Arabidopsis thaliana: one gene and its partner. The protein of the gene in region 1 interacts with the protein of each later gene in a pairwise test. Each region holds a gene or a part of one and is shown on either strand. Other genes may lie near its edges.

Region 1 (4,166 bases):
GCAAAAGGGACACCTGAATGTGTCCTTCACCTTAACCTTGTAATCCCCATTCATCAGTTTCTCGTAAGGTTTTTCATAATAGACATCTATCTCAGACTCACTGATCTCTGACTCTTCATCAGAACTGTTATCCATCCTAGTAGGTGGCCTGTAATCACCAGATTTATAGGATTAGTTGACGAAAAACAGATTTAAGAAACAAAACAGGTTCTGTAGTGAGAATTCTAAGAGTCATGTTAGAATAGAAGAAATTAAGCAACTAAGAGTTGGACTTTTATTATGCCAAACAAAACAAAGAGAACCATTAGATAAATGAACAGGCAAAAGCACATATGAAGACCAATCGAAATGATGGTCACAACGATGTAAGTAATCAAAATCTTGACAATAACTAGTAAATGCGTTTACTATCACAGACACCAAGTTAAAAAAACCTAGAACGCTATATCCTTCACCAAATCAGCAGATTCGCAACTAGGAAATAAGAGCAATAACCCAGAAACACCATTAAAACTTACCCAGACACGTTCTCTGTCCCTTTGATCTGCGAGTAAACGAGCCACAAATGTTAGTCTCACATGGAAATACCTAAATCGAAAAAAAAAATCAACGAGAACCGGCGCGAAAGGCAAAGTTCTCAGTAATCACATAGAAACCCCGTATGTCACGAAAATGAACCTCAGAATCGTCGGAGAAGAAGAGTGTCAAGTCACTAACCTCAGATGATGATGACCGAAGCTTGCGCGAAGAAGAGGCTTGAGATTCAATAATACCAACTAAACGCTGATTGCAATTTAATGGCCCTATCCAATAGCAACAGTGGGCCTTATATTAGGCCCACGCAACCATATCCATACGGTAACTAACATTTTTCCCATTCGCCTCTTTATTTTCAGACACAAAACAGTTCAACTTTCAGACAATTGTGATCATACCTCTTCATTTTCATGTTTCATTAAATTATTTTGAATTTAGATCCTACATTTTGTGGAGTTATAAGTGTCTGATGATGCATTCTTATAATGGAAAAAGAGAGAAAATAGTTTTCAGGAAATTTTTTATTTAATTTTTTGCTAGATAGCAACCTGACCATTTTCAACACCTAATCCATACAAAACACCAGAATATTTGTGCAACGGACCAACGAAGAAATTCTCCTTGAGCTTTCTGAAAGTACAAGACGTGAGTAAACTATCCGAACCAGCTTGGTGACAGATCCCAACTCTCTCCACTTCCAGCAACTCCGCAAGCTTGTTGAGACCACCGTGAAGGCTGTTGCAGAACTTCATCAGGTGTTTAATGTCGTACACGGTCGGAAAATAAACGTTGATGAGCTTGAAGAAGTCTGTTTGCGAATCCGGCAGGTTTTGGCAAGTCAAGAGCTTTAGCAAGTATCCGAAATCGTACCCACTGTGGAATGTAACCCAATGCACGTTTTCGTTCAAGACGATCCCGGAGGACATTAAGAGCTCTGCGAATCTCTTGGAATCGATCCCGTCTAGCGTGTTTTTGGCAAGGTCGATGCCTGATTGCTTGAGAAGCTCGATGGAATCGAGAGCGAAGATATCGGAATCGAGATCGAATTCTCGGAAATTGAATTGCCAGATGCAATACTTGTCAGTGCCACAGGTAGGGAGGTTGCCTTGTTCATTGGAGAAAGTGAGGCCAAGCTGGATCATCTTGAGGATGTTGACGTTCGTCTTCAAGGTTTCGTAGTGGTAATCAGCGTTGGATTTGAAAGTTCCGACAGGTCGGACGACGATGCCGGGGAACTCAGTGTCCATGGCGACGTAAGGGAAGTCGTCGACGACATCTCGGATCAGATCCATTTCTTCTTGAAGGTTATCGTTCCAGACTTCGCGAATTTGAATCGAATCGTCTTTCAGAAACAGAGACATGTCTATGAATGACGAATTTGGTGAGCATCTGGATTATTGATGATGATGATGAATTGATGATGATGATAATGATAAGACGGTGGAAATAGAAAACCTAGAACGGATCTAGAGGAAGACCCGATCTGGTTTCATCAAAATCTGCGGTAAAATCAAACACCAACAAAGCAAAAATCAAACACAGAAATTGAGATAAGAAGGCGGTGGTGATAGATATATCGAACCTGATAAACAAAGCCGAAGTAGGTGGATGGATATTTCTAGAGACGGCGGCGATTGTTGTGGTTAGGGTTTCAGGGAAGGATGTGGTGGTTTATCGATACCCAAAATGGAAGCAGAGAAGAAGAGATAATATTATTATTACTTATCGATTTCTATTTTTTTAATATTTTTTTTTAATCTCTGTTCTGAATCCGATATTTTATTGTTCTCCACAAGTTTTCTTGTTTCTGTCTACTTCTGACAATTTCAGGATCGTTCCTTTTTTTGTGCGTCACAATTTTCCTTTGGCAACATTTTTCTCTTTTTTTAAAAACAATCTAATCCTGCATTATTGCTAAAACTTATATATGTATATATATATATGCGTACCAAATCCACTACTAACAAGGGAGGAGAGAAATAGCTATGTATATATAATGCATTAAGATTTTAATCCTATTTAAGTATATTAAAAACAAATGAGACATTAATGTCAAAATGCTAAAATGGGCAAAAAATCTCTAGCTAAGCACTAGCAAGTAGCAACACTTTGATCAGTTTTCTCTCCACTTTGGATCTTCTCCATCTCACTACTCAGTACTTCCTTCACTTTGTTCTTTAGCTGCAGAGCCATGTAGAGAAACAGACCACTCAAAACACACTCTTGCTTTCTTTCCACATTAAATATTTCTGGTAAGTTTCATACCTCATTGAGACCTTGTTCTGTTTTCACCGAGACATGAATTGATTCATCAGGTCCTCTTTCCCGGTACTTAATGATTTCCGCGTCATCACTGCTTCTATCTTCTTTGGCATACATCACCGGTGAGCCTCCCAGCAGATCGCATTTGGACACAGCATCAATCCACAGGTAATCCTTAAACCTCTCTTTCATCTCTTTATATATTTGAAACTGCAATGCCCTCACAACAAACATATAACTGAATCAGGATATATCAGACCCAATTATTCGGCAAATCAGATAACGGTGCACATTCTTGTGCTTTCCTTTGACACATCTGATGCAACGAAATCCATAAGGATTTGTTTCTTACTATATACCTGATCAGAAGGAGAAGTCCCACATTCTCCCGTTAGATCATGAACATATAGAACCGCGGTTGGAAGATGAGTGAGTACAGCAAGAGTTAACTTCTCTAGATTATTCCTATCCTCTGTAATTACCAAATAAAAAAATACAAGAATCAAGACTTAATCAAATATCATATAGTTATTCATCCACATGAGAGTTCGTAGCAACTAGACTTTACCATCGCATCTCCTAAGAAGGCCAGGGGTGTCTGTAACCTGCAATGCGTTTCTGGATGATTCAATAATCTATATCATGAGGAAAGTGATTAGACGCAGCGAAGTAAGCAACGCAACCTGAAATCGTTGGTAGTTTAAAACGATGTGACCCATCAGAATTCCTCTGGTTGTGAAAGGATAATTGCAAATCTGACAACCGAAAAAACCATAAGCATTAGACAATGCAAGTTATTATCACATATATAAAGATTGGTACATAAGGCAGACCTCAGGCTTCCCTGTTGACAGTATGCGAACCAATGATGACTTCCCAACGTTTGGTGCTCCGACAAGGCAAAGAGTCGGCATTTCCAAGTCAACAACTGGCATAGCCCTCAAAACCTGCAAAGTGCGTAACTCTGTTCATACATACAATTCTGATAACACTGGAAGAGACAAACAAAAGATTCTAGTAAGGAACCTTCGCTATAGTTAGCAAATCATCAACAGCTCCCCCTTGTTGTTGGAAAACCAATTCCAGCTTCTCCACACCTTCGCTCAAGCGTTCCTCTGCCTCCTTCTTTGACAAAGCCTGCAACGAAATTGAAAGATGTTTAACTTTTCCTACACTGATATATGATAGAATAAGATGAAAAAAATGGGATCGGTATGAAGCTTATAAGGCCTTTACTGATGTAGTACCAATCACAATCTACAGTATATGGGATTAACTAAAATGTAAGACACAATATGCTTTTGACGGAACTGAGGAGTCTGACCTTGGCGCAGAGAGAAGCATGTTCCTTTCCAACAGATTGCACC
Region 2 (4,773 bases), on another chromosome or scaffold:
GTTCGGATTAACCGATGATAACATCCTTACATAGTTACATATATATTGCCAACAAATGCAAGATGTAATTATAGAAACTCACGACACTAGAAAACAAACCTAGGGTCAACATACACACATGTATACCAATCGTTATAACAGAAATGATAAATCTAATCCACAAACACAAAGTATCACTCCTCGATCGAAGTTATCCACATGTCTTATTATGTGATGGTCAAGACCTTATAGTATAAACAATTTCCCTGACTCGATCGGTGCTCTCGACTCGACAATACCTCTTTCGGACAAGGACACGTTCTCAAACCCGATTCAAAGGTTTCATCATGATATAGCTTTTGCTACCGCAAACCAACAAAAGAAACATATAAATCTATCAGTTGAACATCTTTGGACCATATTTGGGGGAAAAAGTGTGGTCCATGACATTGATATTCATGTCATTTACACGTAAGATTAGCGATATCAAAAGAAGTTTTTATTCTCCAATCACTATCAAATATCAATGATCAAACTCGAATTAGCAAAGTACTAAGAACCAAAATCCTCCACCTAAAAAGAACTACTAAACTAATATACATAATATTTTATTTACTCTTAAGAAAATGTGCGTCTTTCTCTTAGTTTATACTTGATGGCACACACGATAATGCTAATCGTTATTGGTAACATTTTCTATCATTGTCATAATTGTAATTTTATCTCCAAAGTATCGTCTTAACACAAATTGCATCATTATACGTATCAGTGCGTTCATGAAATTTTATCTACTTGGAAATAATAATCAGGTCGGCGTTTTGGTTTGGCCACAAAGAAAAAGTATCTTAAAAAGCTAGATCCATTTACAAGACAAGAAGACACAAACCCAAAAGTAGGAGATATTACCTCTTACCACTAATTTATAACACCCACAAAAACAAAACAAAACAAAACAAAAAGCAAAAAAAGTTACCTAAAAAAAAAGATTAATTCTAAAACAAGAAAATCTATAAACTTAGAAGAAAACCCCTAATTTAACATCAAGTGGTTAATAGAGAATATATATTATAGAGTTAAAAAAAAAGTTTTAAAATTCTCTAGGGTCTACAAAAATGGAAACGCCAGGTGGCGATTTAGTCCAATCACCAACAACACCATCACTATAGTCATCTCCAAGCCGCTTTATACACCAAAGATCCTCGTCACACGATAGCACTTTCCAATGTGGTATTCCTCGCCGCAACGGGTCTTCTCCGGCAACTTCCGCCGCCACGACACCACAACCACCTGCCTTAGCCAAGTTATGCGCGTGAGCACACAAGGATTTCACCATCTTCACCGCGCGTGGACCTTCTCCTCCGATTCCATACATAAAATGAAGTCCAAAAGGTTCGAAAACGGACGGTATCGAAGGTAGTTTCAGAAACGGCAACGTTTTATCAACTACTCGCGTCGTTTTAGCCACCACACGTCTCAATCTCGACGCTCCACGTACTTCTAACAGAAACGAGTCTTTACAATTCCACACGCTTAATACGGCCCATGACTCGGGTGGATATTCGAGGAATTTAGCCGAACCGGGCCATGATCCAGACCCGGATCCATAACAGCTTCCACGTGGCACCGCGACGAAAGTCCCAAGCGAGAGTTTGTTATTAAGTACCGAATCAATATCCCGCGGGAAAAACTCTGTTGTGCTAAACCGGATTCGGTACAACGTCTCAGCATCAACCGGCTCTAACTTGATAACCGTGACTCGCCGCGAAACATTAACTCGATGAGCGTAAACCGGGTTAACCAAAATCGACGGTGTACGAAACTCCGAATAACCACATTTCCCGGTGAACAAATTCACAGAAGCTTGATTATCGTTCTCAGTTGCAATATACGAATACTCAGCTCCGTTTTGTCTAAACCATTCCTCCATCATCTTCACGAGCTTAAACCCAATCCCTTGTCTCCTGCAAAAACCAAAACTAGTTTAGATAACCAAAATCTATAATAGCGTGTGATTATGAGTGGGAGGAAAACGGAAGGGTACCTGTGAAAAGGAGAGACGCGAAGGCCCAAGACGTAAGCGAGTTTAGTGTAAAGAGGCTTAACGACATCGTTTTGAGATTTGTGATTTAAATCGAGTTTTTGGCCACATGTAACGGTTTTGATACATCCTCTAATCATGCCCACTATCTCCTTCTTCTCCGTACCCATCTCAGCCACCTGTTACAGTCCCATAATTTAAATTTTCCGTTATTATATGTTTTTAACCTTTTATAATAAAGAGGAAACTTTATTAGTTATAGTTACTCGGGTATCATTTGGTTGCAAAAAATAATATAAATGATGAGTCTTTTGATCTTATCAAGAATCGGAAAAAAATAGAAATGATACCAAAAAAAGAACCGAACTTTAATTGTTTATGGAAAATGGGTTTTTTGGATTAACCAAAGGTTGAGAAGTTGGTGTTCTATGTTTTCTACTTCTAGGTTCAAAAAACAAACAGAGTTTTTGAAGAGACATACAAGTAAAAGAAGATAAAAGATTGTGAAACATGTTATTACCAGCATGAGATAGGAAGGTGAATGTCGGATTCTACAAATCGGGTCACCCAAAAGGTCGGTGAAAAGAGAAAGCTTGCCGCTTGGTCCGACTTCACACCGTCGTTCCACGTCCTCCACGCCGACTAAGTCTCGGGTCGGGTCGTACTCTCTAACCACCGTCATGTTTTGGTTCTTTCAGAGTGAGAACAGAAGCAGAGTAAATAGAGAGAGAGATTAGAGTTAGAAGAAGAGTTAAGTAGATAGGGTTTAATATATAGAGAGGAAGGTGAGTGTGGAAATGAGAGAAGTGAGGAAGATTTGTTCGAGAGGAAAGAGAAGCATTTATAGAAACTCTATATATATGTATAACGTGAGGTATAAGTAAAGAACAGAGAAAGCTATGAGTTTATAGGATTTGGATTTTAAAGGAAAGAGAAATAGACTTTTTATTTTATTTTTCCGGCTACTTTTTTACTATTTATGATGAGTTTTAAAAGTTGGAGAAGGCGAGTAGTTCATGATTGATAGAGCTTTAAAAGTTCTTCTTCTCAATCCTCTATTTATAGTCTCTAGTCTCTACAGTTCCCATTTTATTTTTTGTATATATGAATTTAAATATTAGCTAGTTCTAAATGATAAGGTAGAATTCTAACCAGATTTTAACTGATCATTGAATGCTTTTTTTACTTTTATGTGTTAAGAGGAAAAATAGTAAAGAATTTATATTCCTACCATATTTGCTGCTTGGAAATTGGAACAAAAATGTTTTTGCTACAAAATCGAATGATTTAAATTGTGTTGGTCACACTTTTTAGTTTACTACAAACTACACATAATGTTCAAAAAAAGAAGAAATATAAATAGATTTTGTTGAAAAAAAGAAATTTGTATGTTCTTACATGCAGTGGCGCTATCTATTTTCAAAATTTTATGTTCTGTAAAATAATGTTAATTCTCTTTTTTTTTTTTTTTTGACAGCTAATGTAAATTCTCTTTAATACAATAAATATGAAATTAAATCTCTTATAATTAGGGACATTTAAATGTTTTTCACGAATAAATACTCCTAGTAAATTTTGAAATAGTGGGCTTCAACGTATTAATGATGAGTAGAGATTAATGGTGATTAAGACGAGCATTGATGTGGAAAACTTGCCCAGAAGGAGAAGTTGTAAGTGGGAGTGAGAAGTTGAAAATGGCGGCTATGTCTGCGTTAACTCATTATTATGGTTTCTATCTCTCTTTTCGTTTTCCTCTTACTTGTACTGTATTTATTTCCCTTTCTACTACTAGTTCCCTTCCTTTGCCCATAAATTCACACTTATTAAATTCCACATCATCACTCTGATGCATTGCACCATCTCCCAAGTAATCATTTGCCCTCAACCCCATCTATATACTACATTAACTGTCTATCTACCAAATTACTAGTAAATGTAAATACAGCAGCTCTAATTTTGCAAGAGGAAAAAAAAAACAGTAACGTAAAATAAGAGTTGAGAGAGAAAGTAAATTGTGTATAATTAGTTTTTAACATTTTCCGAAAAATACAGAAAAAATATCTTACTAGAAATAACTGCAATGTTCAAATTCACTACGAGGCTAAAAAGAAGCGAAGGAATCCATTTAGAAGAAAAAAACAAATTCCTAAAGGTCATGTCTATCGTATTCCTCTTTTAAGGGTAGTTTAGTCATGCAATACATGATGATATATATGACAAATGATTATATGTACGTTTTATATATACATAAGTATATACATATATACATATACATGACACTTCATTAGGTGTGAAAGATCATCAACATAATCACCAATTAGTTAATTAAACTCAAAAGCCGAAATATCAACCGTCAGCTAATTGTTTTGTTTTAGTAAGAAAATTTGTTTTATTGTAGACGAAATTCGAATTACAATAATCTTTGTTGACAAAAAAAAACCCTTGTTTACTGGTGTAATTTGGAAACAATAAGCCTCAAGCCCTCAAATGACCTTTTAGGGTCAGAATTCTTCTCGAAGAACAATTTTCATAAATAGTTCCACTTGATATTTGATTGTGTATTAAGTGGAAACTAAGCAAGAAACACCATCACACGCACAAATATTAAACAATCATAAACACAAAAATAAACGGCACACTTGACGTGGCCCCTCAAAATATATAACATATAGTTCAGGTTGGTAGGTGATTTATTTTGTACTGATTATGACATTGTCGAGCACTATTATATACTCCATCAGAAGAATTAAAATCAA

Evidence for each region.
Region 2: the proteins of AT1G80780 (region 1) and HLS1 interact in binary tests that used the Arabidopsis thaliana proteins (3 or more experiments, as listed by UniProt).

Annotation. Positions count from the first base shown.
Region 1 is NC_003070.9:30,356,249-30,360,414, reverse strand, and holds AT1G80780 (Polynucleotidyl transferase, ribonuclease H-like superfamily protein), read right to left. Parts: upstream 2,254-4,166; 5' UTR 2,120-2,253; exon of another isoform or gene 2,037-2,119; 5' UTR 1,899-2,036; coding exon 1,091-1,898; coding exon of another isoform or gene 1,074-1,090; exon of another isoform or gene 885-1,073; coding exon 832-884; 3' UTR 809-831; downstream 1-808. Other genes in the region: FDM5 (XH/XS domain-containing protein), read right to left, coding at 1-135; PDE318 (P-loop containing nucleoside triphosphate hydrolases superfamily protein), read right to left, coding at 2,629-2,718, 2,803-3,009, 3,159-3,271, 3,368-3,404, 3,483-3,554, 3,633-3,746, 3,826-3,936, 4,124-4,166.
Region 2 is NC_003075.7:17,656,858-17,661,630, reverse strand, and holds HLS1 (Acyl-CoA N-acyltransferases (NAT) superfamily protein), read right to left. Parts: upstream 3,038-4,773; 5' UTR 2,700-3,037; coding exon 2,538-2,699; intron 2,250-2,537; exon of another isoform or gene 2,197-2,249; coding exon 2,021-2,196; intron 1,941-2,020; coding exon 1,067-1,940; 3' UTR 753-1,066; downstream 1-752. UniProt on the Arabidopsis thaliana protein: Ethylene-responsive N-acetyltransferase required for differential cell elongation in the hypocotyl. Regulates apical hook formation of dark-grown seedlings. May control differential cell growth by regulating auxin activity.